Linked DNA regions of Rhinolophus ferrumequinum. The protein of the gene in region 1 interacts with the protein of each later gene in a biochemical or structural test. Links are inferred from orthologs where the notes say so. Each region holds a gene or a part of one and is shown on either strand. Other genes may lie near its edges.

The links.
Region 2: of the proteins of PTPRC (region 1) and CSK, one has a biochemical effect on the other in vitro, tested with the Homo sapiens proteins (2 studies listed by IntAct). The link is inferred for Rhinolophus ferrumequinum from reciprocal best matches to the Homo sapiens genes PTPRC and CSK.

The regions. Positions count from the first base shown.
Region 1 is NC_046310.1:2,393,683-2,408,843, reverse strand, and holds the start of PTPRC (receptor-type tyrosine-protein phosphatase C), read left to right. Parts: upstream 1-9,408; 5' UTR 9,409-9,530; intron 9,531-9,611; 5' UTR 9,612-9,654; coding exon 9,655-9,727; intron 9,728-15,161. UniProt on the Homo sapiens protein: Protein tyrosine-protein phosphatase required for T-cell activation through the antigen receptor. Acts as a positive regulator of T-cell coactivation upon binding to DPP4.
Region 2 is NC_046289.1:99,357,017-99,372,027, forward strand, and holds the start of CSK (tyrosine-protein kinase CSK), read left to right. Parts: upstream 1-7,885; 5' UTR 7,886-8,140; intron 8,141-8,355; exon of another isoform or gene 8,356-8,913; intron 8,914-10,045; exon of another isoform or gene 10,046-10,069; intron 10,070-15,011. UniProt on the Homo sapiens protein: Non-receptor tyrosine-protein kinase that plays an important role in the regulation of cell growth, differentiation, migration and immune response.

The DNA.
Region 1 (15,161 bases):
TTATTTAAATAGCAGTCCTCTTGATTTTCTAGTCCATGTTAAATCAGTGAGATGGAATTTTCAGTGGGCAGCCCTTTCATGTGTTCAGACTGGGGGCTGAAGTCTCACTCTCATGCTTGCCTACTGTACTGACCAGAAAGTAGGAAAAGAGCTTCCTTTCACCATTTTCCTAAAACATAATGCTTCCCTCCCAAGCAACAAAGGTCAAAAACTCCTACTAGCATCTTCCAGAAGATAGCCACTCTTCCTGGTACCAGTGATTTGATGGTGGACGAGACAAACAGGCCCCTCACTGGCCTGGAACTTACATTCAAGTGGGAAGGGCAGATGAAAGGCTAGTAAATAAATGGACAAATAAAAATACCTCAATGATTGAAAATGTGACAAGGGAAAAGATTAGGGTCTGAGAAGAAGGACAGAATCAGAGTTGGGGCTCTTGTTTGGAAAGGATGGCCAGGGAGGTCTTCTTACAGCTAAGCCGTGATGTCCAAATGAGAAGAACTTGGTAATGACAAGTAAGGAGAGAGGGTTACAGCATCTGCAATGGGATCAAGACAAACATGGGAGAAGCAGAGAGAAAAGCTGATGGCATCAGGTGTGAAAACCAGGCCGGGTTTGGAACTTACAGGGCTCTTGTAAGGAGTTTGGATTTTATCTGAGTTGCAAGTGGAAGCTTTAAACAGATTTTATGCAAGGACATAAGGCAGACTTACTTCCATTTTAAGAAATTCTTGCTGCATTGGGGAGAATGGCTTCAAGGAGAACAGGAGTGGAAGCTGAGAGCAAAGTTAGGAGGCTGGACTCGTTTCCAGGAACGCAGTGTGTCACACACACTCGGCAGTCGTGGAAGTGGGAAGAAGGCACTGAAATGAATGCACGTTCTAGACACAGGCTTGAGAGAACGTGCTTCTGGATTGGGCTTGGCCGCTTGAGATGACGATGGGGAAAAAAGAAGATGGAGATCCAAGAGGACTTCCAGACGTCTGGTAGGTGGGGGCCTCCGTCAGGTGGAGTGTGCTGGGCAGGAAGAGGGCAGGCTGAGGCGTGGAGAAATCAAGGGTTCAAGTTCGATATGGTTGTCTGTGGGATGCTCAAGTGCCTTGTCATTTGGGCAATAGGAAACGGGGGGCAGGGCACAGAGGTAAGGTTTGGGCTGAGGGTAGCAAATATGGATGGTATTTGAACCCGTGGGAATCTATGGTATTTCATTTCATGGGTGTCAATAGGTCATCAGTACAGGGAGGAAGAACAGGGCCTCGAACAGCAATATTTAGACATTGGGTAGCAGAGATCAGGTGTTAACCCCCTGAAAAAAATAATGCTTTTTATACAGTGTTTGCATTGTTCATTATTTCTGAGATAGGAGGGTAGATTTGATTGAAAATGTTACTCGCTTCATTTCTGCTGCCATCTGAGTTCCATAGAGTTCAAATTGTTTGTAAATGAAATCTCCTTCATGGTGAAATTTGGGGGTTGGATTGCGTTCAAATTTAAGTTCTGTCTCAGAGTATAAATGTAGTAGGGCAAGTTTCCTCACTAATCTAGGCCTGCTTGTCCATCCATAAAAGGATGACATAAGAGTACCAACCTCACTCTGGTGCTGTGATTGAATGAGAAAATTCATGTCAATGCTTAGACAGACGGTGCTTGGCACATAGTAGGCGCTGAATGTACTTCCTACTGCTAGTCGTAGTCACACTGTTTACTTTGTGACTCTGCATTATAACCTTGGAACATCTGCCTGCCTATATTCTTTGAAATTTTGAGATTTGCTCTTAGCTGCCTGAAAGGAGTTTTGCTTTTGATCACCCATTATTTATGTGGACTGATTTCAAGCTGGATTCAGAAATTTCAGCTTGAAACTGCACATTTTGCAACGTTTATAACACTGTCTACTGATGGCTGACGTCCGCTGCTGTCCCCCAGTGCTATTCAAACCACTGCGTGATTCAAAGGTAGACTTTTAGATGTGTTTTCTTTTTTTTTTTTTTGAATGAAAAAATGTAAAACACAGACTCCTGTTTGACATCATTTTCAAAGAAGCAGCGCGACCAAGAAAGAAACTACCACCAGCCAGTGTTTCCATATTAAACTGACGACGGAGAGTTTGAGGATGTGACAAGTGATGGAGAAATGCACCTGGGGGCTAACATATTGGTGCAGGAAGACAAGGACCCCTGGCAGATTTGTGAAGGCAGCGTCAGGGACAGCTGAGGCAAAGTGAACTGTGCATCACCTTCTGGTTTTCATTTTCTATTTTGCTGAAAAATAATAATACTTGGTGTTATCATGAAGACTAAGTTAATTAATTAAGTAGGCCTCCAATCCATTACTTTAAGCAGTCTGAACTCATGATTGTCAAGCATGGGGTTTTGTTGGCACCAAAAGCGTATGACCTTTAAAAACGTTTCTTGTTTTATAGGAGACATACAGTGTTTCTGATACCTTATTACCTGTCAAACAATCTTGACACTTTAGTTTTTTCATGGATTGCCGATATATTATTTTATATATGAGGTAGTAAATTTTCATGGTTCCAGAACAGAACTGTAAACTAAGCCATGTAACAAAGGTGTCATGGGAGTGAGGGAATTGGAGGGAAAATGGAGATGGTTTAGAGAGAACACGTTAGGTCATAATTAGAGCGTGTGCTGAGGACGTAACAGAGAGGCGTGACTTCTGTTTCAAGCTATCGTATGTTCCAGCACTGTATTTCCTCATAGGATTTGGAAGCTAGTTTAGCTCTTGTTCTAACCTTGCTACATGTTGTGTTTATGCATCCAGCTTTGCAGCTTCACTAGACCAGAAAGAGCAGTCAGGCACTGCCAGGAGCCAGTGTAGAAAGAGAGGGAAGGAAGGAGAAAGAGAGGGAAAGGGAGAGGGAGAGGGAGAGAAACATCCTGCAGACTTCAAAGGAACCAACAAATGATAAATATGTCTTATAGTCAGTAATGTGAGGCGTGCAGTAAACCACACCATCTCAGCGAGGGCCTTAGGAAACAAGAACTCTGGAGTCCACAGAAGACTAGGCCAGAGTGGAATATTCTCTTAGTTTGTTAAAAACTATAAGACTTTCTCAGGGAGGCCCATTTGGAAACTGGCCTCAGAAGTCAATGCCTGTGTCAGAGTTCTTTATGCTCATAACTGGCTATTAAGCAATCTGAACTCATTGATATGCAAACATTACATAATTGTATTTGTCTCCTGCTTCTGGTCAGCGATTTCAGTGATTCTAAGACCCACATTTTATAAAACATGTTTTAACATTGCTGAAATCAGAAGACATCTTGCAACTGACAGTGCTTTTAAGCTGTGATTTAAAAAAAAGAAACAGCATTTTGAATTTCCCTTTTCCATCTCTTGGCTATATATAGGGCAAGTCTCACAACTTCTAAGTTATTTTGGGTTAAAAAAAAAAAAAGGATCATTCCAGCTGAGTTAAACTCTCCAGTCTCAGGTTCAATCTAACTCATTCACCTCCTCTCTTCCTTCTAGCAGCTGTCAGGCCAGTGCTCCTACAATAGTGTGGTTTGCAGAAAGGAACGATTGTGCTCAGGTCCTCCTCCCTCGCTCCCAGGTCTCTCCTCCTCTTTTTCCTTGGGGCTAGAAGGAGGAATAGGTTGTAGGTTCTATTGTACATGCTTTTAGTTATAACCTAGTGTGTTTACACCATTACCTGAATGCTTGTTAACTATTTAGTTCTTACAGCAACACTGAGAGTGTTTTAACTCCATGTTAGCATTAAATCACTGCTGGAACTAGGAGTTAGCCATCTTTCTTGACCGCTAGGCAAAAATCCCTTTTTCTTATTTATATCAGCATTGTCTATTTTACATCGTTGGCAGTAAAGTACAGGGATGCGAGGACAAGCTCTAGAAGAGTCAAGGTTCGAGTCCCCAAGCAGGAAAAGCTGTCTGAGCAGCACCCCTCCCCTTTATGCAGCTTGATGTTGACAAGACTTATTTTTATCTGGATTTGCATTTTATACAAAGATAGAGGGCAGTTTTACCAAATAACATGGATTTCCTCACTTAACACCTACATTTTCAAAAGATAAAATGTCAGAATTGCAGGAATGTATTTTTAGATCAAATGATAAAGATGGAGCCGTATTCCCTCCTTTGTGCTCCTGTAATATTTTGTTCGCGGATAAGAATATGTATCAGATTTTATAATTGTTCATGGTAACTAACTCAGTCATTTATTGAACTGGTAAACATTTCTTCCACCATCATCCCTTGTACTAGAGCACAAACATCCCGAGCATTTGACCATCTCCTACTCTTGCGAAACCCCAATATATGGCCAACCACAGCCTCACGTGTAAGTCTCATTCATTCATTCATTCATTCATTCAACAAATATCAAACTGTACCAAGCACTCACTCCTGGACTTCATGGCTCATCCTCCAGAAATCAGAAAACAGACGAGATTCTGAGACAGGAACTAGCACAGAGGGGCCTCTTTTAAGCGGGATGGTCAGGGAAATGTTACTGAGAAGGCGACATGTAAGCTGCTACTAAAAGGAAGTTATGTAAAGAGTGGGTGGTGGGGGTGAAGTAGGAAGAGCATTCTGGGCAGAGGCCCTGAAGTGGGGACGAGCTTGGCCTTTCAAAGAACAAAAAGACCAGTGTGGCTGGAAACAGGCATTAAAAAAGTGGAGGGATGTGTACAGAGGCTAGATTTTATTCAGCGTGCAAAGTGGAAAAATATTCAGAGGTGCTGGAGACCTATCCCAACCTGGTTTGTATTTAGAGGAGATCAAAATGATTGCTCTGGAGAAAATGTTGAAGGGAGATAGAATGGAAGCTTGGAAAACAGTTTAAAGGCTGTTTCACCCATGGTGGTACCTTGGTCCTAAGTAATATAATTGGAAATGGAGCACGAGTAAGATGGTGGAGCTAGAATGAAGGGGACATGTCGATAAGTTGAATGTAGTTGTGGCAGAAAAGGAGAAACAAAAAAAAAAATAACGTTTCTGCTATAAGTTCCTGGTAGGCTGGTACCTTTACACGTTGGGATAAGATTGGGAGTTGGGGCAGTTTAAAAAAGGGAGGGGTCGAGACTTCCACCTTCTGTTGAATAAGCAAATGTGATTCCAGAGACCTGAACTGTAGCTCTGATGGGAGATATATGTTGCGGACATCAGCACGAAGGAACTCCCCCAGAAAGAGAGAAGTGGGCCAGGATGGAGCTTTGATGTGTGATGACTTAGAAATCCGGCAGAGGAAGAGACGCAACATGGCAGCTGCTGAGGACAAGCCAGGAGGGTCCACGAAATCAGCTGATGATGGTGCTTTGGAAACCGACAAAGAAAAGGCTTAGAGAAGAACTTAACTGTATTTTGTGCAGCTGAGAAGTGACATGAGGTGAGGACAGAGATAAGTGGTGGTGTCACGTCTGGCAATGCAGATTATCATTGGCAAGAAGATTCAAGAACAATGTTTCAAGCACTTCCAGAGCTCCCCATTTCTCTGAAGATAAAGATAAATCTCTTAGGACACACAGGCCCAGCAGAGTTTGGCTATTATCCGTCTGATGTCATCTTTTGCTTTGTTTATGTCTCACTTCTTTTTGTAAAACTTGAGATACAATTGACATATAGCATTGTGTAAGTTTAAGGTGGATAATATGTTGATTTGGTGCATTTATCTACTGCAATTTCCAGGTTCTGCTTCTCTCTGCCATCCATACGTGCCTCTTCCTAATCCTGGAGCACACGCTCTGCCTGTAAATAGACGATTCTTTCTGCCCGAATACCGTTTTCCTCCCCACGACCACTTACATTCTATTATTTTTTAGGTCTATCTTCATTGCTTTTTATTTCAGGCAAAATCCCCTGACCTCACGACGGCATCAAATATCCTATTGTGTGTTTATTTCATAACATCAAATACTTCCTGTGTGCTGAAATTATCATGAGTTAATTCATGATTAACTTAATTACTTTCGTCCCTTCCACTGAAAGCAGGGAAGCACATGTGCTTTTGCTCAGCATTTTTCTTCACGAATGGAAAAATGATTGTCTTATATTAGGGGATGACTATTTGTTGAATGACTGAATGAATAATGTCTGTTTCTGCAGTTAACCTCGTATAATCTGTTTCTGTCTTTATATAACCTTTACTACATGTAACTCGAAACCTGGAAAATAGTGGTTAAGTAAAATATCATTTAGCATTTAATATTACAGCTTTTAACAATCTATTAGACATCAATCAGCTATGATTGTTTTGAAATTGCATTGGTGAAACTTTGAAATTGTTTTCAATACATACTGTTTTAACCACTCAGGAAATACCACACACTATTTTTTACATATAAACTCGGATGTTACTTCCCGGTCCTTTCCCAGCCTCAGGTGTTCTTCTTTAATTTTATTTTTCAATTACAGTTGACATGCAGTAATATATTAGTTTGAAATGTACAATGTGGGGGTTAGACATTTATGTAACACGATGCAATCACCCCGAAAGTCTAGTCTCCATCGGACAGCATACACAGTTTATTACCATATCATGACTATATTCCTAGCACTGTCCTTTATGTCCCGTGACTGTTTCTATAACTGCCAATTTACACTTCTTAATCCCTTCACCTTTTTTACCGTTCCTCCAACCCCCAGTTGTTCTTAAAAAATGCCGTTTATCAGCAGCCTGCCCACTCTCTCTTTCAGAATCAATGACAGTGGCTCCCACCAACAGTCACACACACCCTCCATTTCTGCAGGACTTTGTGGGCGGCTGCTTGCCTCGGCTCAGATGCTTGGCCTGTAAGAGATAATGCAGACATTTCCTTGGATGCCCTTGGAAAGGCCAGCCGCTAGCCACCCCATCTAGGTGTCCAGGTTAGTGAAAGGCGAGTGATGCCCTGTCCCCCGGCAAGCTGCGGGGGCCTTCTTCTTAGCACCGCCCTCCCCACCCGCTTGGGTCTCAGGCATATCAGACCTCTGGCTCACCATTGTGTCTGCTCTGCCAGCACCTGAATTATGCAGATTTACTTACTGACTTCTCTCTGCACGGTGCTCTATTTCTTTTTATCTTTAGTGTCCTCAGTATAAAGTGTGCCACGCACAGTCTCTTATTTCCTGTAGACCCTGAACTCCGTTTGAACACATGAAAATAAAATATCATTCTCCTCGTTTGGTGCTAGTTCATCTTAGTATGTGTTGGGTTGAATCTCTATCCACCTTGGGACTAAATCTCTGACATTCTTGCTATTTCTGAAAGGTCTTTAAAAATGTCTCTTTCAGGCTTCTAAACCCGTGTTTGGCTTGTTATGGACAGTGTATGTCTTATATCCTTCACTCCCTTGTACTGGATTGTCATGTGTTTTCCTCTGTAGGCTGCCGTAATAATAACACAACAGAACACAAGCGTTTGCTTAAGGATAGTCAATCGCAACCCCCAAATAGTTCTCCACGGCAATGGATTGTAAGAATTGGCTGTGGAGTTGAAGCTGATCCTGGAACAAGACAGGTTTGAACTGTGAGGGTCCACTTATATGCAATTTTTTCAATGACTACAAAGTCAGCCCTCTGTATCCTGGGTTTTGAATCTGTGGCTTCAACCAACCACAGGAGGAAAACAGTATTTTCCATCTGGGTTGAGAATCCGTGATGCTGACAGCTGAGTGTGCATTGTTCTGTCATTTTATAGGGGGGTCTTGAGCATCCATGGGGAGCCTGGAACCAATCCCTTGTGGATATCTAGGGATGACGGTAGATAAGTTATTTTTTGGCGGGGGTCGGTGTCAAAGTTATACTTGGATGTTTGACTGTGTGGGGTGTTGGTGCCCCGATCCTGGTGTTCAAAGGTCCACTGGTCTTAAATTCGGGACCACTGCCATATATCTCAATAGGCCTACCTACTGAAAAGTGGAGCTTACGTTTGCGGCTATTTTACTTAAAAATATGTTTGCAAAAAGAGAAGCACATCATTTTTATGGAATCACTATTCTATCTTTTAGAGATTGAAAATGATAAAAATCCTTAGTAAGAAAGATTGGGGAAAGGGGGAAAAATGAAGAAGGTTGGTAAGGAAAGGAAGGAAAGTGAGATGAAACTTGGAGAGGGTTCAAAACACAGACTGTGTCCTGGCTAGATGTGAGAGCTTGGACCCATCCCCTAAGCTCTCTGAACTTCCCGGATAAAAGAGGGATAAAAACATGGGGTCTCTCACAAGCTGTTGTACAAGTTAGATTACACAAGTAAAGGGCGACGTATCGTCCTGGAGGTGATGACAGCCCCGTGAGTTAGCTATGATCATAACCGTCATGATAAAATCGCAATCACAACAAAAATCTTATTATTGTGTTATTATCCAGAATTTGAGCGATGGGCTACTTCTGTTTGTACAAAGGGTATGTGTGTGCAAATTTGGCCCTGTAGCTCCTAGCAGCCAAAGTAAGAGTAAAACAAAGAAGTTTATAAATATCAAAAGATGTATGTACGTCAATACAAGGACCCTAGCAGTGCTTCCTAATTGGGGATTGGAGAGTTCTGGCAAGGGCTCTGTCTGTGTAGACCACCCCTAGGCATTCCCTATAGTTCGCACAATCGTGCCTGGTATGTGTGTGCACGATGTTTTTAAATAAACCAGATGTTGTGATAATGATATCAATTTATTTCATTGTACTGCTGAATCTGTAGTGGCTTCTTGCCAGTAGACATTTTTCTAATTTAGAGATGTGCTAAGGCCCTCATCAGGATCACGAAAAGCGTTGTAGTATGTTAATGTATCTTTTAATTAAGAAGGTTGGGAACTGGCTGAGAGGGGGGAAAAAAAGGTCAACTTTTGTAAAAGACAGTTCTTGAATTTTACGGCAATTCTTCCCCTCACGAGCTGCACTCAGACTGTCTCAAGTCACAGAAGCACTGATTTTCTTGAAGCAGGATTTGCTGTAGTGGAGTGCCGTTCTGATTTCTTCCCTGGCCCCACAAGGATATCAGTGAAAGATTTGGGGCCAACCTGCTAAACTCTCTGAGAGGGCTTTTGCATAGGAAATGGGTTTGACTGCCCCACGGCAAATGGTCCCAGTTGCCAAAAATAACCAGATCGGCTGTTATTTATTCCTTCATTTGGTCATTTTAAATCATACACAGGTATTTCCTACTAGTGGCTATCTTGCCAACCCCCATTTTGGTATGCCTGTGCTAAATTTGTGTTTTCACCTTTTAGCTAAGAAAATGATTACTTAGGGAGGATATGTTTTTTGTTTGTTTGTTTTTTGTAATGAGTACTCTAAGGGAGCATTAATTAGATACTCAGAAAACATCTTCCTTGAAGGAAAAAGTCTTGTAAAAGGCCTACTAAGTCTAGTTGCTTGAAGTAAGGAAGTAAGATGCCTTTGCACTTAGTTTAAACAACTTTCTTGACTTCCTGTAAAGAGGACCCTTTGCTAACTTTGGAGAAGTTAGTAAAACCGAATCTGACATCACTGCCTAGCAGCTTGTGTCGCTAGCAAGTGGTTTGTTCTTAGGGTGACAGAGGAGGAAATTGCTCCCCGTCTGACAAGACGACAGTGAAGAGTACGCATTCATTTCTTTTGTTTTTGATTCGGTTTTACAGAGAAAAACTTTTCAGAGATAACCATTATTTTGCCTTTTCAGAAGGACGCATGCTGTGTCATAGGAATACGGCTGATTTGCAGATATGACCATGCCTGTGTGGCTGAGACTTCTCGTATTTGGCTGTGCCCTTCTGGACATAGGAGTGTCTGGTGAAGGTAAGACCAAGGATATCATCCTTTCCTCGCTTTTGTTTTCCTTGTGGAGTGCCATCGGTTTGAAATAGACAAAAAAATACGTGAAGGGTTGGTGACTGGAAGTGATGAAGTGGCTGCGACCTGCTCAAGGCATTGTAGTTGAGACAGAGGTGGCTCGCTATGCCACAGAATACATTGTTTCTGTTTAAGAATACATTGTATCTGTTAAGATAAGTGTTGGGGGGGGAATCACAATTCACAAGGAAAGCCTTGTCTATCTGTATCTTTGTTTACCGACTGTTCAAGGGTATTAGCAAAGCCACATTGTTACTTAAGCCTTCCAAGTACACGAGAGGTAAACTTAGTCCAAGGAAATTTTAATAACAAAATAAGTGAATATTTATCCTTTTAAGAAAACATGAATTTTTTTAAAGTCACAATATGGCTTTGGTTGCATGTAAACCACTCCCTGTTTCCGGCCAGAAGATTGCTTCCTCAAATTTTGATTACTGGTGAACTATTTTATTGAGTACTTAGCTATGGAGTTTCAAACAATATACTTGGCTACTTCATAAAATAGTAACTTTGTGTGTATTCTCATCACAGAATGTGTTGGAAATCAAGTTTTTGGTTCCTTACTAACAGTTTTAATGCTTATTTGCTTTGGAAATTCTTACAAAGCCACCGCCCTTCCTGGTGATGGGTACATGTCAGAACCTCGATGAGATAAAAATATGTAAACCCAGCAATCATGTAAATGCTGTATTCTGTAGGAAAATACTAATTGGACTCTCGGTACCTATTTAAGTTGGAGATCTTTGTTGGGTCTGTTTAATGGGTATTTTTTTTGGAACAGTTTTAGTTCGGGTCATGAGTACATTTCGGTTGATGATTAAATGTAGCTAATAAGTTGATATTCAGTTTCTGCTTATGATGTAGCATGAAAACGCTGTTTTTTTTATTGGAAGGATACTGAAATGGTATTTTGGTAGGAATTCCAAGTCAGTTGGAAAAAAAAAAGGAGAAAATTGGTTTTAAAAGCTTTGCTTGTCGGAATTGACAGAGAAATGTTTCTCGCTGACTGTCCACAGCTCTCCTTTCCTCTGAACGCCAGGGTATAGGTACCTCCTGAGTGTGGTACACGGTCAGTGTAAGCACGGAGTGTGCAAAGCAGTGTGAGGTAGTGTGTGTGTGTGTGTGTGTGTCTTAACTACAAAGATCGATTAAAGCCATTTATATAGGTACACCATATTGTCTCAGAACACAAAATGTTTAGCAAGTTACCATCCCTGTAAGGTGCTTATCGTAACCAAAAACCAATTATAAAGGATGACAATTTTAATAGGGTGATCATATGTGTTTTATACATTGGAGTAAATTTCCGTTAAAAATTCCCACCCAGGAACTGTTGCAACACATTTCTGAAAGAGCATCAAGGAATAAGAAAATTTGTTGCCCATAGAGCAAACCACCGTAAAAATTTCAACTCAGTGTATTAACTATTTTTTACTGTAAGAAACATCTTGAATTTGTAATCAAGTTGAGAGTATAAAATGATCTAAAACTCTTGAAATCAATTTTGCTTATACTGTAAATAAATGGAGATACATAGATTTATTTGGAAAGAGCAAGTTTAAATTCAATTGCTCACTCAAGAATCAAGAGCAAACAATTTTCTCAATGCATTGATAATCTTCCTGAAATATAATACATACTTACTTTTGGGGGGAAAAATAGATGTAATCATCTGTGTCTGCAAATCTTGTTATCATGCATTTAAGTTCTGAGAGACATTTTGTGATTCAGTGTATCATTGGGGAAGTTAGTAGGCTTTATTTTTTAATTAATGCTTTAAATTATATATTTTTCTTCATTAGCAACCAATGAGTTGGATTATATATTTTATTTTAATGTGTCAAATTTAATGTTTGTAGGAAATATTAGACTTTTGGGTATGAAATCTATATGGTATACTCTGAAGACATAAAGAATAGGGCCAAATGCATAGAGACATCAGTGGATAAATATGTACACGATTCATACATGTTACTTCATCTCCAAATACAAGAAAGTTCAGCTCTGTCAGGGCAACAATGTTGGGGTGAGTTTTACACAAAAACTGGTAATCTCCGTGCTCTGTGCTCTTTTGCTATGAAAGCTGGAAACCAAAAAACTTTGTTTAAAACCTCTAACTAACTCTAGGGGATGATGATGGTTTCAAGAATGCAGATAGAGATGAATGTTCACTGGTCTAAAAAAGGTTTCAGGCACCTTTATCCCTCCATCACAGCTTGGAGAACGTGAGTTATGAGTCATAACAGTTAAGATTCATTTCCTGCACCTAATTCTTCATTTTGCCATCGACATGAAAGGAAATACCCCAGGTTGCAACATGGAGTGTGCCTTGCACATCACAGGTGTTCAAAACAAATTATGAATTGAACTTCATAAGCAATCCTATTATGTTCTAAATACTCTGTAATGTAGAGATTTGTCAGTATGATTATTTATTGATTTTTTTAAAAAAAAGTATTTCCCAATACAAACCTGCCTGAGACCCTTCTCATTACGGGAATTTAGAATGCATTTTATTAGAGGAAAGGTAAGGTGGGGTCACGGGTCTTTCTATGTCAGGAGGCACAGGGGCAAGTTGGTTGGCTTGAGCCGGGTCTTGGCCATGTTCTGGGTCACGTGACATTCTCTCACCAGTAATGAATAGTGTGGGATATACTCATAGGGATTTCTACTCTGTTCATGTACATAGGCATCGCACATACATACTAGTGTTTTATATACACTAGTTATATAGTACACACAACATATGTATTCCTAATATACACATATATAACTGTATATGTATGTGTGTATTATAAATACATACTTATATGTAAATAAATGAGCATATTTTTTAGGGAGTTCTATAACTCACACACACACATCTACCATCTGTCTAGCGTTCTCCACATTTGTCTACATTTAAATATTGGGGGTCTACAGGCTTCCATTCTCGGCCAGTTGCCTTCATGTTTCCTACTCTCAGAGCTTCTTCTCATTCCGTCCTCCGTGTTGATGAGCTCAATTTTCCATCTCCTGATTCATCCCTCACAAGTGGGACACCCTGCCTTCTTTTCTAAGCTTAATCTCATTTTTTGTTTGCAAAATATATACATATATTCTGAAATATATATATATGTATATGTTAAAGGCTCCCCAAGTCCTATAACTTTGCTTTCTAATCATCTATAAAATCATTTTCTGCTTTCCTCATCTCCTGAATTCATGCCTTATCATTTCCACCTGGGGTATTGGGAATAGGTTCTTCGTCTGTCTGAGGTCTTATCCATGTCTTTCCACACTCTGCAGCTTGAAACTGTAAGATAAAAGGGGGGAAATAACTGATGTCTCCTCACTGCTTTTTGCTGTGCATTCTGAACTCCTTGCCCGAGCAACAGTCCACTGACCAGCTGAGAGCTGGGCAGGCATCTTTTTTCTTTCTCTTCTGTGACTGATTAAAACAGACAATGCAGGCGGCAGTTTCAACACCCCCTTTACACTTCCTCACGGCTGCCCACTGAGGCTCTGTGGCAAATCCTGTTTCCTGTCAAATATTCTCTTCTATCACTCTTGCCACAAAATTTTGCCACTGAAATTGTACACTTTTACCACCCTTTCCTTGGGGTTTTTCACATGTTGTTTCCATTGGTGGTTGTTGTTGGTGGTATTTTTATTATTTCTTACTGTTGTAACTTACATGACAGCAGAAATTATGTCTTATGCTTTTTTTGGTATCATCTGTACCTGATTTTCTTACCAGGCACTGAAAAGTAAGGGATTTGCTTGTTGTTTGTTTGTTTGTTTTTTTAACAAAACTGCACATTATAATAATGGAGGAAAAGGAGGAGACGGACAAGAAAAATTTCAGAAAGGGAGGCCAGAAGGAGGGAGAAAACATGAGACAGAGGCAGAAAAAATGAGTCAGAGGCAAAGAGGGAGGATGGAGGCAGTAGGACCATTTTATCAAAATAATTTTGGATGTGGATCTTTATAGGCTTGTCTTTTTTTTCTATTTTTTCCTTCTCCCCATTTTACTTCTCAGCCGGAAAGATTCTCTGACACCTTAAAAATCCATAGTTCAACAATGCCGTTCCTAAACAAGGTTTTCCTTCACCTACTCTTTGGATAGTCACGCTAATGACCCTTCATCTGGTGGGTCAGTTTTGTTCTTCTGACACGGATGCCAGTAGGAAGAACAGTGAGGAATGGGGAGGGAGGTATGCTGCGAGCAGCGGGACAAGACAAATTCAGGTCCAGCCTCGCAGGTACCTGCCTGGGCACTGATGCTCGTGCCAGGGGGCTGGCTCCAGGGCCAAAGGGAAGACGAAACATGCTGCATGTTGCTTGGTGCACAGAGAAGTTTGTAGAGAGTCCGGGCATCGTTTCCTACTCCATAAAGGGATAATGAATTTCCATCTGACTGGACCAAGAGTAGCAATTTGCACTCAGGTAGACTAACTTCATTGGTGGAAGCCCAGAGTTCATGTAGGCAAGGTTTGGAGGGCAGACCACGTGTATGTACGTCGTCTTGGTGCAGAGGGAGACTTCTGGCGTCGCTCCAGATCTCTGATCTTTTGCAGCCATCTTGTATGTTATAGGCCTATTTACACAGGAGAAAATTGAAATGGAAATCGAACTGAATCTCTGTTTAAGCTTCATTTCACTCTAGTCTAAATAACTTCATTAGTAATCGACGCCCATACTAGTTGCCTGTTAACAAAGGACTAGCGCATACATAAACATAGTGCTGTTTAGGGAAGGAGGAAGGGAGAAAATGAAATGTTGCAGGCTGTTCATTCAGCAATATCTGTGATTGCTATCTCTTTCTACATAATACTGAAATATGCAGAAATAAAAATTATGGTAACTTAGATTTAGTGTACATGGTTCTAACCAGTATTTACAGTAGAAAATATCTAATTATCACCTAAAATTTTTAGTAAGCATTCCTGTTTATATGTCAGTGTGCTACTTCCATTTCAGTCTGGGGAAAGACTATTTTTAGCGGAGTATTGTTGTGTTCAGTAACCACAACAAATACAAGAAAAAAAAAAGCAAAAACTTTTCTACTCCTTCAGCCAGGACAAGCGTAAATATACATAAAGTCAATGTTAGTGAAATACATAAGCATCTTCTATGTCCATTCATAGTATTGATTCACTTCTGAAAAAGTAATAAGCAATATTATCAATGTTCTTCTTAGATTCTTTACTGAAGACCCCAACTCAAACATCTCCCGTGATGCTTAGCGATACAATTTTTAAAGATTACGCATATTTTTCTTGCTAAAAATAAGACACAAGTCTCTAAAGTGAAAAAGCTACCTTACTAAAACTTCAGTTTCTCCTATATATATAAATTGCATGGGTGATAAAGTGGTAACTCCATGCAATGATATTCA
Region 2 (15,011 bases), on another chromosome or scaffold:
GGGGTGGGGTCAGGGGGCACAGGGCAGGGTTCTAAGTCACGAACAACAGAAACCGACCTCTGGCTAACATAAGCAAAAAATAAACGTACTGCTCACAAAAGCAGAAGAAAAGGGCTCCAGGAAGCCGGCAACAGGAGACAGCTAAGATGGGGCCTCCAGTGCGGTTTGAACAGGATGCTGCCCCTGGCCTCTCGGCTCTCAGCTGCCGCTGAAAATTATCTCCAAGGGACCCTAGTGCTTGTGGTACTGCTTCCCTCTGTCACATAACCTCACCCTAACTGACCTGAAATCTCATGCTGCTTCTGCATCACAAGCTCAGGGAACCAAGCGGCTCCTCCCAAGCTTTGGTCCTGTCACCCCAACCTCAATCTTTATTCATTCAGCCAGTGCTAGGTCCCTGTTGACACCAAGCACCTAGACCGAGGCTCCCACACTTCAGCAGGCCAGCTTTCCCTCTGCGGCTGCTACTCACTGCTGCCTGCCTGTGGTAGAGGTGGGGGGGTGGGGGGTGGCAGAGGACTGGCTGCTGTACTAGAGGCTGAGGAATTAGAACTGCATGGCCCCAGGGGTGGTGGGGAGTCTTGGGGAGAGAACAGACCACCTCTCTAACCAGAACTGGCCCTGACTGGAGGAAGAAGCGACCTACACCTCTAGGGGGCTCCCTCTGTCAGGAGAGTGCCTCTGGAGACCCAGATGATAAGGGTAGCGGTTCAGGAAGATGGGCTGGGGGCACTGACAACAAGGCAGCAGGCAAGGACCTTCTTCTTGGACGGGGAGCCATGAGACCTGTGGCAGGAGTGACAGTGGAGACCCCAGGGAGAATTCAGTCACTCACTTATTCACTCAATACATATTTACTGCCACAGGCTCAGTGCCAGGCCGTGGAAGGACAGAGAAAAAGGAGCCAGTCCCTGTCCTCAGAGAGCACCCAGACACACGCTGCTTAGAATTAAACTCGGAGGGGCTGTACAACCAAAGGGAAGGGACATATCCTGCCTGGTCCCTGGAGCCCACTGAAAAAGGGCACTCCAGGCCCCATACCTGACGCACAGGTGGCTTCTGGAGCTCCTTTTGGCTCAGGAAGGGTCCCCTTCCTATCCAGCCCTACCCCACTCTCAACCAAGGGAAGGGACTTTTGAAAGCGGCCCTGATCGGACAGGGACAGATGTTAGCACCAGGCTTATTCACAGGATAACACCTGGACAACAGGATTTGCATGTGATTTGCAAAAGCTTGGCCTGACGCACAAGCCCGGCAACCTCTGGTTCCTGCTCCTGGTGCTCTGTCACCTCACCCTAGGCCAAGTTTCCAACCTTTGCACAACGGAGAACGCCAGGACCCTTTTCTTGCTTTCCCCTAAACAGTTCCCACGAAGAAGCCAGAACAGGACCGACTGGGGCTCCCAATCCGCAAAGCAGAGCCTGGGGACTTCTGGGTGGAGGTTGGTCCAGCTCAGAGCTGAGAGCTGGCAGGTGAAGGTCTCTGGGCAGCTCTGACGGGAAAGCCCTAAACTGTAAGAGGTTTTGCAAGCCCAGGACTCCAGGGGAGAGCCAAGGAAGCTTCTGGACCTGCCCAACCCCAGTGGCCCCTGGTCCCTGGGAAGTAGTCAACACGCCCTCAGTATTGGGTGAATGGATGATGGAGGGCTTCAATTCATCAGCCATTGTGAAACTGTCAGCTCAGGAACAGACAAAAGCCTCAGGGAGCTGGACTTGAATTCATAGAGGACAGCAGGGGAGAACCAGGACTACACAGCCTGCTTCAGGAGTCAGAGAAAAAATATTCATCTAACTGCCGGTGAGTGAAAGGTGCCTTGAGCCAAAGCACTGTGCCTGCAATTCATACTTCATCTCATCTTAGCATCATAAGTACCCTGTGAGGTTGGCCTCTCACTCCCATTTTAGAGATGATTAAACTGAGGCTCAGGAAGGTTAAGTGCCTTTTGCTTAAGGTCACACAGCTGGGCAGGCGTGAGTCCAAGACTCTAACCCAGAAGCTATTAGGATAAATTGGGTGAGAATGATGCGAGGGCATCCTGGGTCCTTCCTTTCCTTCCTAGGATCCGATGGCTGAGTTCCCAGGGATTCCCTCTTCAGTTTCCTTAGCGGCAGAATGAAATGATACTTACCTCACAAATATATTGCAAAGATTAAATGGCAATTAAGACATGTAAAGTGTTTAGGATAGTGTCTGGCACGTGATAAGCCTGGTATTAGTTAATGTTACCTGTTATTATTATTATTACTATTACTACTATTACTAACTGAAATTCATGGGTGGCCAGATGGCTCAGTTGACTGGAGCACATGCTCTTGACAGCGCGGTTGCCGGTTCAATTCCCACATGAGCCAGTGAACTGCGCCCTTCACAACTAGATTGAAAACAAAGACTTGAGCTTGGAGCTGAGCCAACGGTGGGCGACCAGTTGGCTCAGTGTTTAGAGCACGGTACTCATAACATCAGGGTCACCGGTTCGATTCCCACATGGGCCAGTGAGCTGCGCCCTCCACAACTAGATTGAAGGTGGTGACTTGACTTGGAGCTGAGCTGTGCTCCCCACTAGGTTGAGAAAAACAAAAACAAAAAACAACAGCAGCTTGACATCCTGGAGAAATGCACTGTTCCCCAATATTCCCCATTAAAAAACAAAAGAAAGGAAGAAATTCACTCATTCATTCAACCAACATCTGAGAAGCGGGTTCCAGCGGGTTCCAGCCTCCAACTACAGATCCGGAAACCCGCACCCAGGGGAAAGTCAGTGCTACAATGCTGAGAAGTGGGCCATGAGGGGAACAGGAGAGAGAAGGGGGTAGCCTAGCCTTGAGATTTGGGAAGTGTCACTGCAGCTTCCTGGAAGACAAAAAGCCAGTCAATTCTCCACCCAGAAGCAGGAAGGATCTTTTAAAAATGCAAATGTACAGTCGAGGCTGTGGTAAGCCCTCTAATAGCAGGGTCCCTCTGCCCTGAGGAGGGGATCCAAAGACTCCGTGGTCCACAGGTGGCCCTGCAGGCTCTGGCCACTCGGCCTCTGCTCCCTCGTGCCCTGCACCTCACCCCATCCTGGCCTCTTTCCCCTTCTCCCAAAGCTCAACCCCTTCCAGCTCCAGAGCCTCTGCTCCCATTGTCCCCTCGGCCTGCCTCGCAGACATCTCTTCTCCTGCAGGGTCTGAGCTCTTGGGAGGCGGCTCCAGTGTCCTGTACGCACATCACAGCTGCACATCCCTCCTGGGAACTCATCGCCTTGGTGACCATCTGTACTCCCCCCAGACAGAACATTGACCAAGACAGGAACTAAGCAGGAGGAAAGAAATATGTGCCATGAGGGAAGCACCAAGAAAGGTTGCAGGGATCCCAGGTACCTTGACCAATTCATGTTGTGGACCTGCCTCTGGATCTGCCCACTCTGGGGAGATTGCAAATCAGGGAGCCCAGGACCCTTGCCCTTCGGAGCAGAGGACCAGCTAGTTAACGCCCATGGTGTGGTTGGGGAGGCCCTATGTGCATGCTGCCTCGGGCCACAGAAGTGGGGTCCTCCAGCTCCCAATGGCCTCTCAGTTGGGTCACCACCTCTAAAGCCCCGAAGCCACCAACCCACCACCACCAAGACTTCTGCCACCATCATATGGGAAACAGAGACTAACTTTCCTAGGAAATACCCTTGGAGCAAATTGGTGCAACAAAGAGAACAGACTTTCATTTGACATTAAAAAAAAAAAATGCTTGTGCCTAGTAAGTACTCGGTAAATATTAGCTATCATCATCAGTAATAATAATAAAGTACCTGGCACATAGTAGGTGCTCATTAAATGGTAGTTCCCTGGTCCCAGGGGGACAGAAGTTGGAGACAGTTGGCAGCCACCATCCCTACGGAGTCAGAGCTGCAGGAGAACACTAAATGCAACCCTTTGGTGCACAGATGGGGAAACTAAGGCGTGAACAGGGAGGACTTGCCCAAAGGCAGAAGCGATTTCGGTCCCTCGAACTTCGGTCTCTTATGCCAACGCACTGTCCTCATGATAAACTCAGCCAGCCCAAGGAGAGAGGTTTTCAACGTGTGATGCCCCTAGATTCAGATGGGCAATGCTTACTCCCAAGGAGAGCTTTGTGCGTTTGGGAGCTCAGGCTCCTTGAGGAGAATGCAGGCTGAGGCTTTGCTTTGCCTCTGCAGGAGGCGAGCACAGCTTCTTGACTTAGTGCAGCTCATGGAAGCCTGTTCTCCTGCGGATCAGGAAGGGAGAGAGGTCACATGGGAGGCCCACCTGGCCCCCTGTCGATTCCACAGCTGCTGAGCCTTTAGCAGGTGTAGATATCAGCTTGGTCATCCAGCCAAGCAGCCCCTGGTGTTCAGAGAGCAGGGGCCCCTCTGGGCACTTGCTGTCTCCTGGCTTCTGGCCTTCCTTAGGGACCTCAGCTCTAGCACTGGTCTGGTCTCCCTGACCACCTTCCTTAAGCCCCCCTTCGCACTTCTTCACCCCTTGACCCATCCCCACAGGTCAGTGAGACCCTGCAGCAGGGAAGCGGCATTCACACTGGGCCTGAGTGACCTCAAACTCATGCCCTTCCTGCTTGGTCTCCCTGCCCCCCAGATATCCCCAGTGCTGTGTCCTGTCAGTGCCAACACCAGCCCTCTTTCCCAGTGACGGCTCCTTCCACCTTCCAGTCTTTTTCTGGAGGAGGCTCATTCCCCAAAGGCCTGGCAGAGTTCCGGGGTGTGACGGTGATGACAGGGCCAAAGAACAGCTCCCAAAGCAGGAGGGCCAGCCATGCAGGGCACCCCAGGTGTTGTCAGCAAGGGAAGCTGCTCACATCAGCTCAGCCTGGGCACCTGCTCTGCAGGAAGTCGAGGGGACTTTGCTGGAAATCTGCCTTTAATCTTGGCTTCCTGTTTTCTGCCCTGGGGGACGCCCAGACGGGACTGAGTTTCAAACTATTTCACACCAGCTTCTCTAAACTGTCATCTCAAAGCAAAGAGGCTGGGGGAGGGGAGGAGCTAGGGTGGCTGAGAAGAGGCCCTTCCCTTCCCAGGAGACCCTGAGAGCAGAGTGCAGCCCACCCATGAAGGTGTTTAAGCTCCGGACCTCTGGCCATCAATGACCAACCTAACTTTGCATCGAGCTAGCCCAGTTGGATCTTATCAAAATGCAGCCCAAAGTTCTGAGCTCCATTCCCTACATCCGGGGTCTCCAGCATCTCCTCTTTTCTCCTTTCCGTCACGCCAGGGACAGGTAGCCCAGCCTGGGAAAGCTAGTGCTTGTGCCTACCTGGCTGGGACGGGGCTCCTCATCAATTCCTCCCAAATCCTAATGATTTGGAGGAATCATTATTCCTGCTCTAATGATTTCCTTTCCTAAAGTCCATTGCATGGGGAAGCTTTGGAGGTCCTCAGACCTGAAGCCCAGGCCTGGGAGTGGACTCGGAGAAAGTTTTTTCCTGTTCTGAGCCTTGGTGTGTAAAAGGTGGCTCCAAATCCTGGCCTGACATCTCCATGTCTCACAGGTGTCTTCAACTCAGTTTGTCCAAAATCCAGCTCCTGAGCGTTACTCCCAGCCTGCCCCTCCCCCAGGCCCTCCCACCTCAGGAAACAGTACCAGTTTCCTCGATTGCTCCAGCCACACCTGAGGACCAGGCCTGCTTTCTCCTGTGGCCTCACTCCCCACAAACAGCCCTTCATCAAGAGCTGTCACATGGCTCTCCTTTGTCCATCAGAGCTCACTCCTGTCACCACTGGCAGGACCATGCAAAGCATCGTCCTGGTCTCCTGTCCTTCACTCAATCATGTCACTCCTCTGCTTAAAATCCTTCAACAGCTCCCCATTGCTCATGTAACAAAACCCAAACTCATGTAACAAAAGCCTTGGTCCACAGTGCCCTCCAGGACCTGGCCCCTTCCTCACACTGCTCTCCCCCGCTTGCTGATCTTGTCCCTCAAGCTGCTGAGCCACCTGTACCTGACTCCTGGTCTGCTGTCCTCCATCAGGCACTCATCACCTTCATACCACAGTGTCTAATTGCCCTGTTTATTGATTTATCCTCTTGGACAAGACCCCTGCTTACTCTTTGCTCACTCCTTCATCTCCAGCATCCAGAACAATGCCTAGCACTTAGTAGGTGCTCAATAAGTATTTGTTGAATGAGTGAATGAATGAATAAATGAATGAAGAAGGTTGGAAGTTACTTGGCTCTTCCACTAGAGGAGAGTTCTGTGGGGGCAGGGCCCTTTATTGATTTGTCCCCTGTGCCTATGGTTCAGGGAAGTTAAAAAATTTATTTCACTCTGCTGTGAAGAGGTGGAGTCAGGATTCAAATGCAAGTCTGTTTGACTCCAAAGTTCACACTCTGGGCCACATACACCCAGGGAAAATGTCAAATGTACTTGGGGTTAAGGGAAGATGGGTAGGTAACAAAACTGGGCCAGGGATTAGAGCCTTTTCCCCACGTCCCCACAGCCCTTTCCCATTTTGCAAGCTGACTCAGCCAGGGTAGGGGAGATGTCAACTTCTCCCTTCGGAAGGCTTTGCAGAGCTGCTGAAATGCTTCCCTTTAGGCTAAGAGGTGGCCCCATCCGGTCCCACTTTATCATTCCATCTTGACCTCATCGGAAAGAAAGGGAAACCAACTGAGCTAAGCACCCCCTCCGCCCTCCCCCAAAGCCGTTATCTTGCTGAATCTGTACCATCTCTCATAAGAGAGATGTATTTTGAGCTTGATCTTACAGAAGAGGAAACTGAGCTCCGAGACCTTAAGTAACTAACCCAAGGTCACACAGCTAGTAAATGGCCCCGCTGAGATTTAAGATTTGAACCTTAAATTCGTGCTTTTTTCCACCACAGTATCTCTGAAACTTACTGGATAGCTCCTCAAAGGCTAGGGGTGTGACTACCACTCCCCTCCTTAAAGGGCTGGAGCCTTAGTGGCAAGCTGGCCAGGGGTGCATTGGGTCAGAAGGTCACCTGTGGTTTGGGTGAAGGCACACCCAACTCCTGCTCCTGGTATGTAAGGCTCTTCGCAATCTGCTGCCACAGTCTCCCCAGCTCACTCTCCCACAGAGCCCTTTACTGTCCACCTCACTCCCTCAGCCCCTCGCTTATTGTGAATTTCAAGACTTTGTCAGTACACCTCATTTCCCTACCGGAGAACGTCCCTCCTCTGTGCCCACACAATCCTGACTCTTCCTTCACGGCCCAGTCCCTAGGAAACGCCTCCACATGTCCTATCTGCACCGGAGTCTCTGGTCTCTCCCCGTCACCGACCCCACTCTCTAACCCCCCACCCACACCCACTGTCTGCTCCTGTAGCTCAAAGTAGATCTCCTCCCTGCTCCTTGTTAATAATGATATATAACAACACACGAGACTTGACTGAAGGCTGACCATGTGCCAGCCCCTGCTCACTAAGCACTTTAAATGTATTAACTCATTTCCTGTCCTACAAAACCTTAAGAAGTTGGTGCTATTATTTCCCCCATTTTATCAAATGGGGAAACTAAAGCCCAGAGAGGTTATTAACTTTCCCAAAGTCACGTAGCTGTTGACAACATCCCCATTGCCTCCAGGCTGAAAACAAAGTCTAAGAAAGTCCCACAAGGCTCTTTGGATCTCTCTAGTCCCTGGTCTTCCGGGGACGTCATCTCCTCCCACTCTCCTGGACCTACACTGTCATACTGCGCTATTTCCAGGTTCCAGAGCCATCAAGCTCTCTCATCTCTCCCTGCCGCGGTCCATGCTGTTCCCCCTGCCTAGGGTCCCAGCTCCATGAAATCTCCCCATTCGTCTCCCCCTTTTCCGCTTCCTGTGGACCTTGTACACCATTATCAGTTATTTCTTTGAGCTTGTCTGTTGGCCGGTCAGTAGTGCCGAGAACACCTTGACAGTAATGTAGTGGTCCTACTAGTAGACTCCGGAACCGGGCCCGTCTCATCGTCAGCGCCATTAATCGTCTGAGAATAAATGAATGAATGAATGCTTCCTGCTGCGAGTGAGGCCCACTCTTCACAAACAGATTCAAGGAGAAGGGCCCAGGCCCGGCCTCAATCGCTTCTACAGCAGGGGAGCTGCGCCCCGGGAAGGCTGCTGGTGGCTCCAAGGCGGGCTGGTCGGCCCACGGCGCGGGACCTTCGGGAGCCTCCATCGCAGGCCTGCAGGTGGGGGCAGGGCGTGGGCGCGGACACACCCCCCGTAGTGCCCCCGGCGCCCGGCAGGGGGCGCCGCCTCCGCCGGCCCACGCCCCACTGGCCCACGCCCCGCCGCACGCCTGGCAGGCCCCCTCGCGCAGGCGCGCTGCCGCGGGCGGAGGATCCGGGCGGCGCTTCCTCTCGCCAGGCCTGTGAGCTTCCTCCCAGCAGAGCCCCGGGCGAGCTGAGCTTGGCCGCCGCCGCCGAGCCCGCCGCCGCCCTCCCGTTCCCGCCCCACCCCGCACCCTGTCGGGGGTCCTGCCGGGGTGGGGTCCGAGTGGGGCGACCCTCCGGCCTCGCCGCCGTCGGGACCGTCCCGCCAGCCAGCGGTCCCTCCCGCCCCAGCCAGCCTGTGGCCGCCGGAGCCTCCGGGGCGTGGAGCGCGGGGAGCCCCCCGCGTCCTGGGCGGCCCCCGGCAGCCGGCGCGACGTTCCAAAATCAAACCTTGGTGGCGGCGTTCGGAAACGGAACTCTGCCGGGGCCGCGCCGGCTACATTGTTTCCTCCCCGATTCCCTCTCGCCCTCCTTCCCCCGCCTTTCTTCCCTCCCCGACCCTGGCCGCGCGGCTGCCCCCTGCGTCCGTCTGGCCGTCCCTCCTTACCCTCTCTCCGCACTCCTACCTCTTTGTACCGCATCCTCCGGGGACCCCTGCGCCCCTCCCCTCTCCCCTGGCGGCATGGACCGTCCCGCAGGCCGCTAATGCTGCCCAAAGCGAGGTGGCCCGGACCGCAGTGCCCTGAAAGGTGAGTGCGTTTGAGTATTTCCCGAGGGAGGAGGGTGGCGGTCTCACGTCCCGCTTCTGTTACTGCTGTTGCAGCTGCCGTCGCGTCCACTCCCATCCCCCACCTCCCTTACCCCCTCCTTCCCGGTTTCGAATTCTCCCGGGAGTCACTGTCAGCCCGACTGGGAGGGGAGCACAGGAGGGAAGTATTGCCCTATGAGCCCCCACAGACTTCGCTCAGGCCAGCCGAGTCTGTCCCCCTGTTTCCCCCGTGTGGGGTCTGGCTGTAGCCGGGAGGGAAGGGGTCAGCCTGGGCCAGAGCCCTGGAGAATGGGCAGTTTGCCATTCCCTACCCAGGGCCTCCCTGCAGGTTCCCTGGTCTGCCTGGTTATGACCCCTCCCTCGCTTCCCAACAGAGGCCCTGCCTGCTCTAGGAATCCCAGGGCCCAGAGATTGAGCTTGTCACCCTCTGCCTCACAGAAAACCAGGCTTAAGCCAAGGAACCTCTGACCTTTGGGTGGGGAAACTTGGCAGGGCCACTGTCCTGGGTAGAGGTGACACTGGGCATTAGGACCATGCCCCCACCGCCTGGCAGCCTGGTCAGCCCATTCTCCCAGGCTCCTCAGGGCCCAGGCCAGGTGTCAGGAAGGGGCGTGTCCAGCCACCAGATCCTTGGAACTTAACTAGGGGTTCCTTTCCTCTCCCCTCCTAGTAGACCAGGGAACTGAGGCTCAAAGGGGGAAGTTGCTCCCCCAGGCTTCTGGCAGAGCTATGCTGTCTATCCATCCATCCCCCGCTCTACAGAGCTGGACTGCTGTAGGTAGAGGGCAGCCAGGCAGGCACCTTCACTGACCAGGGACACAGGCCCCCATCCTGGCCCAAGGGACCCTGTGGGGTGAGCATGTGCTCCCCTACAGAGGGCTGTAGAGGAGGCAGAGGACTTCCGGCCCCAGCTCTGCCTGCGTATGGGCTCAGGCATCTGCACTGCCCCTGGGGTTACCCCCGGTGCCTGAGGCTGGGTCCCACTGGTGAGGATGTGGGGACACCTGTCTGGTGTGGCCCTGGCACTGAGCTGAGACAGCCTGGTATTCAGTCGTGACCCTGCCCTCCCACACCTTTGGCCCAGATGGCATAGGAACAGCCAAATTCAGAGCGTGAATGGGATCCACATGGGGAAGGTGAGAACCCTGTTTCCACAGGGAACGCCCCACAGCCTTGGCATAGGAGCATTTTCAGGGGATACCCAGGGGCCTGTTCCCAGCTCCCCACACCATGGGGATCTCAGCGTCTTTCTTGATGGGACCCCAGGGTGAAGGCAGCAGGAGGGAGATTGGGAGTGTGGCAGAATCCTCTTGTTCCTGGAAGGGTGGGAGTTTCCCTGGAGGACACCGAGCCATGTCTGGGGCCCTGCTCAGGCTCTGCCCTTGATTAGAAGTTTTTTCCCAAGTCTCCCTGACATGCACAGTGGAGAGGACCCAGATGAGGTCGGCCTGTGAGGCTCCCCTCACCCAGCCCTAACTTCCTTTCCAGCCTGGGGTTGGGGCTGAGGCCTGACATGGTTGAGCTGTACCCGGGTGGCTGGGGTCCCGCGGCCTTTGTAGACCGGGGTCTGGCTGCAGGCTGGCACATGTGCAGGGATGTGTTTTCCTACCTGGCGAGCTAGGTGCCTTCCTCCCTCTCAGAAGTGACTGCTTTTCTTTTTGTTGGATCGGGGGCAAGGAAGGACCAGAAAACAGTCCCCAGCACCACTGCAGGGGACACTGGGCCCCAAGACGGTGAGACACTACAGAGCATACAGGCGGGGGTTGAGGCCCAGGAGCCACGGTTAGCTGCCCCAGCAAGCCGCCAGGTGGCCTGAGTGGGCAGGGCAGCCTGGGCCCAGTTCTGGCCTCCATCTTTTGAGGAATTTCAAAGCCTTGACACATAATCTCCAAAGAGCAGAGGTATTTGGTACGGAAAAGAGAAGGTAGGGAGAGACCCTCACGTGTCTGAGGGGCTTTGCCATGGTAGAAGCTGTCCCAGACACCAGGGCCAGAGCTGGGGGCAGGCGGGGCCCAGGGAAGTGAGTCTGCGCTCATTGCGAGAAAATTATGTATGTATTAGTTTCTTAATTTAGAAAGTAACAAAGCACTACAGGAAATGTAGAAAACAAAACAAAAATCACCCACTGTTTCTTCCCTGGCACAGTGACTAGCATTTTGGAGTTCCCTGCCAGTCTTTCCTGGGTTTTTATTCCTTCGTCGCTATTGTCATTTCAGTGTACATGCCATGACTTTTTTCATTTAATACTGTGTCTGTGGGCATTTTCTCATGCTGCTACATGGTCTGTGTAACTTTGCCTCCGGAAAGGTGTAGAATTTTCCAAATAGCTGCCACAGCAACCCTACCCAGACCCTCTTACTAAGCGTATGCACTGTTGTTTCCTGACTGTTGTTGGGGTGGTGGTTGCTACAGGCCCCCATAGTGACCAGGAGTATCGGAGAGAGCAGGCAACTTGACAACCATCCAACCTGGTTTCCAGGCCCAGCCATGCCACTTAGGCCCGGGAGGAGGGACCTTGGACAGGTCACCGTTTGAGACAGGGTTCCTTTATGTACACACCGGGGACAGTGTCCCTGCTCCAGAGGGAAATGTGCGGGCAGTGTGAACACTCCAAGGTGCTAGAAAGTGCCTGGCACAGCCCCTGGCCGTCACAGGCACTTTGTCGGGGCGGGGGAGGGGGCATTGTTGATGGAGTGCCCACCACAGTCTGTGGAGAAGACGCTGGGCCAGAGGTGGCTGGTGGCTCACCAGCCAAGGGCTGCTCTGTGGCCCGGGGCCCTTTTAAAACCCTCTGGCCCTGAGGCTCTGGACTGCTCTGGCTAGTGCCCGTCCCGCCTTCCTGCCTGCCCCCTTCCTGTCACCCTGTGATTGGCCGGCCCAGATCACGGCCTGGCCCTGAGAAGATGGGTTACTGGTCGGTTTCTGGGACCTGACCCTACCCTTCCTTCTCTTCTCCCGGCATCCGAGCTGAGTGAACAAGGCCTCTGCTCTGAGAGCCCAGCTGCCTCCCGTCCCCCAGCTTTGGCTACTTCCTCGGCAGGCCCCTCATTTCCCCAGTGGACATAGAGGCCTACTTTCCCTGGGAAAACTGAGACTTGGGCAGGGAACCCAGGCATTCTGACCCTCAGCCAGCCTCGTCTCCGCACCCTTTCCCAGGGCCCGGGGCAGGGAGGAAGCTGGGGCAGGCAGGGATTTTAGGGCTCCCCCGGCTGGGAGTTGAAGAGGACCTAGGTGGCCAACAGATCCCTGGGGAAGTCTTGTGTGTCAGCGTCCTCCTCCTTGGAAGGTGTTCCCCATCTAACCTGAGTGTGCATTCCCGTGACATTGCATGCTTTCTCTTGTTCTGCTTATCTGGAGACCAGAGAACTGGGAGTGCCCTCCTGGGACCACCCCCTTGGACGGGAGGAGGAAACCAGTCTCAGCATGGCACCCCTGAGCCTGGGAGACCATCGCCCCAGATGACCCTAGGATGGACCAGGACTACCCCAGGCAGAGGGTCCTCCCCTAGGTGGCCCATTCAGTGCCTGACCTCGGACTCTGGCTGCCAGACCTCTGCCTGTGGAGTACCTCCCTCCTCCCTGGCCTGGTGCAGGGGAAGTGGGTATTACAGCTGCCCTCCTGTCCCACAGCTTGGGCTGGGATGAGGTCACAGGGTGGGGTCCTCTCCAAGATGCTGGCCTGGCTGGGGTGAGCCCTTTGGATGTTTCTCAGTGCCTCCCCTCCTTGGTTGGGGACAGGATGGGTGGAGGAGCAGGCCAGCCCCCCCACACTAGGCAGGGAGCACTACCTCTCTTTCTCCTCTCCTCTGGGTCCCTTCATCCAAGGGCTGGAAATAGAATCTGCTAAGTAATGATTAAAGTCAAATTTAGACCTAAAAATAAAGAGCTGGTAAAGGAAGAGTTAGTGTGCTCCCTGCGTGGCTGAGGGGAGAAGCTAGTAAGGCGGGACTAGCTTCGGGGGGCCAAGCCCCTTCTTCCCAGGAGAGGCCAAAGCCCACTGGGGTATTGGGAGTGCTTCACCAATTGTGGGGTCTCTTAGCGAGCAAGATGCAGCCTGCACCAATCGGGCAGGTTGGCTGGACCAGGGAGAGAATCCTACTTTTCGCATGGGGAAACTGAGGCCCAGAAGGACGAAGTGGTCTATCCAGTGACTGTCTGAGAGCTCTCTTTGGTAGGCCCCCAGGGACCTGAGGGCCCCATGCCGCCCATCTCACCCTTTCTGCCTGCTCAGTTTCTCTTCCTGGTTTTGAGGTACTGTGATGAGAGCAGCTTCTCATCACACACTCTCTGTGTACGCCTCGGTGGGGCTGGGCCTCCAACCGCAGCTTCCCTCCGCCTCCCCCGCCCCCACCCCTTCCGTGGTCTGGGCCCAAGTTGCAGGAGCAAGTAGGAGAGAGGCTGCTGGGTGCTCCCCTCTGCCTGTCCTGCTCTCTGCACAGGTGGAAGCTTTGTGGGTGGGTGAGAACCTGGTGTCATCTGACGCCTGCCCACCCTGGCTGCTGCTTCTCAGCCCTGCCCAGCACCTGGTCCTCACCCAGACCCGGGCATCTGTGGCCTGTGTTGTCCACGCTGCAGTGAGACTGGAGGGGAGAATGAAGAAGGAACCCTGTGAGCTCCCAGTAGGGAGCTGGCTAGTAGGGGAGATCAGACTCAGGAGTCAGTTAGGGCAGGCCTTTGGTTCCCACTTCCTGGCAGGGCTGGTGGGAGCGCAGATCGCAGAAGCTGGGGATCTGCGTAGGCTGGAGCAGCCAAGAGGGCTTCCTGGAGGGGAAGGGCCATGAAAATCAAGAAGCATTTGCAGAAGAAGCAGGGTGCAGGCAGAGGTCGTTGCTTGAAGCTTCTCCCCTCTCTAGGGCTGCGGCTTCTCTGTGTGAGACCAGGTATGGCAGACAGGAGTGGGCAAAGATGTAGCTAACCTGTGTTTCCCAAAGCAGGAGGGCCACGCTCTGGGAAGACCTCCCCTATCTGTCCTTTTTCTTTTCTTTTTTTTTTTATAAACTTTTATTCATTTAAGTGTGTTTTTCCGGGACCCATCAGCTCCAAGTCAAGTAGTTGTTTCAACCTAGTTGCAGGAGGCGCAGCCCACTGGCCCATGTGGGGATCGAACCGGCTACCTTGTTGTTCAGAGCTCGCGCTCTAACCAGCTGAGCCGACCGGCCGCCCCCTATCTGTCCATTTTCACGATGTCATCTGTCCTGCCCAAGGGAAGGTTGGGGGTTTTTCTCCTGACCAAGTTCAGACAGTTCTGAGCTCAACTTCCGGTTTTACCCCTTGGAAGCTGGGTGACCCTGCTCAGAGCTGGTTCCTCATCTGTCAAACAGATCAGCAGGGAAACCTCACAGGGTTTTTGGAGGATAGAGTAACTGAGGCAGGATGGCTCAGTAGGCTCTCATTCTGTGCTTTCCTTTTTGTAGCCCGTCCTTCTGGGAGAGGTGTTGCTATCCTCCTCCTCCCTCACATGGCAGCAAAGCTGGATGTCCTGTGTTGGGCCCCCATTGCTTTCCCTTCCGAGCTCTGTGTTCTGGGGGTCCCATTCTGAGATGGGGAGACCAGGAATCTGGGACCAAAGTTCTAGATAGCCCATGGGCCTCTGGGCCTCAGTCTCCCCACCTGTAACCTGACTAAGAGACGTTGGGTGAGGGACAAGGAGCTGCACGATTTGTAAGGGCTTGTTGGAGGTCAGTGCGGAGAGACTGTAAGTAAATGTAGGCAAATGAAGATGCAAACACCACAGCCGGTGCTCAGGGACAGGCTTGGGGGGTGCTGAGGAGGCCCCAGTCCCCACTGCCCAGTGATGTAGGTAATTAGGCTCCTGAGCGGTAATTAGAAACTTTTCTGGGCCAGGAGTGTGAGCCTCCAGTCGCAGGGGGCTCCCACAGGGGAGGAGATTCCCACTGGCGGCCTCTCACTCCAGCCTCCACCCCTCCCACACCGCTACACAGAATTTCCAGTGCCACCGAGCCACTGGGGTCAGGAAAAAAAGCCAGTGAGTTGCTGTAATTTCATTTTAACATTTTTCAGCCATTAAACTCGGCCCTCCCCTTAGGGCAGGGGTGCTGAAGGCTGAGGACGGGCCAAG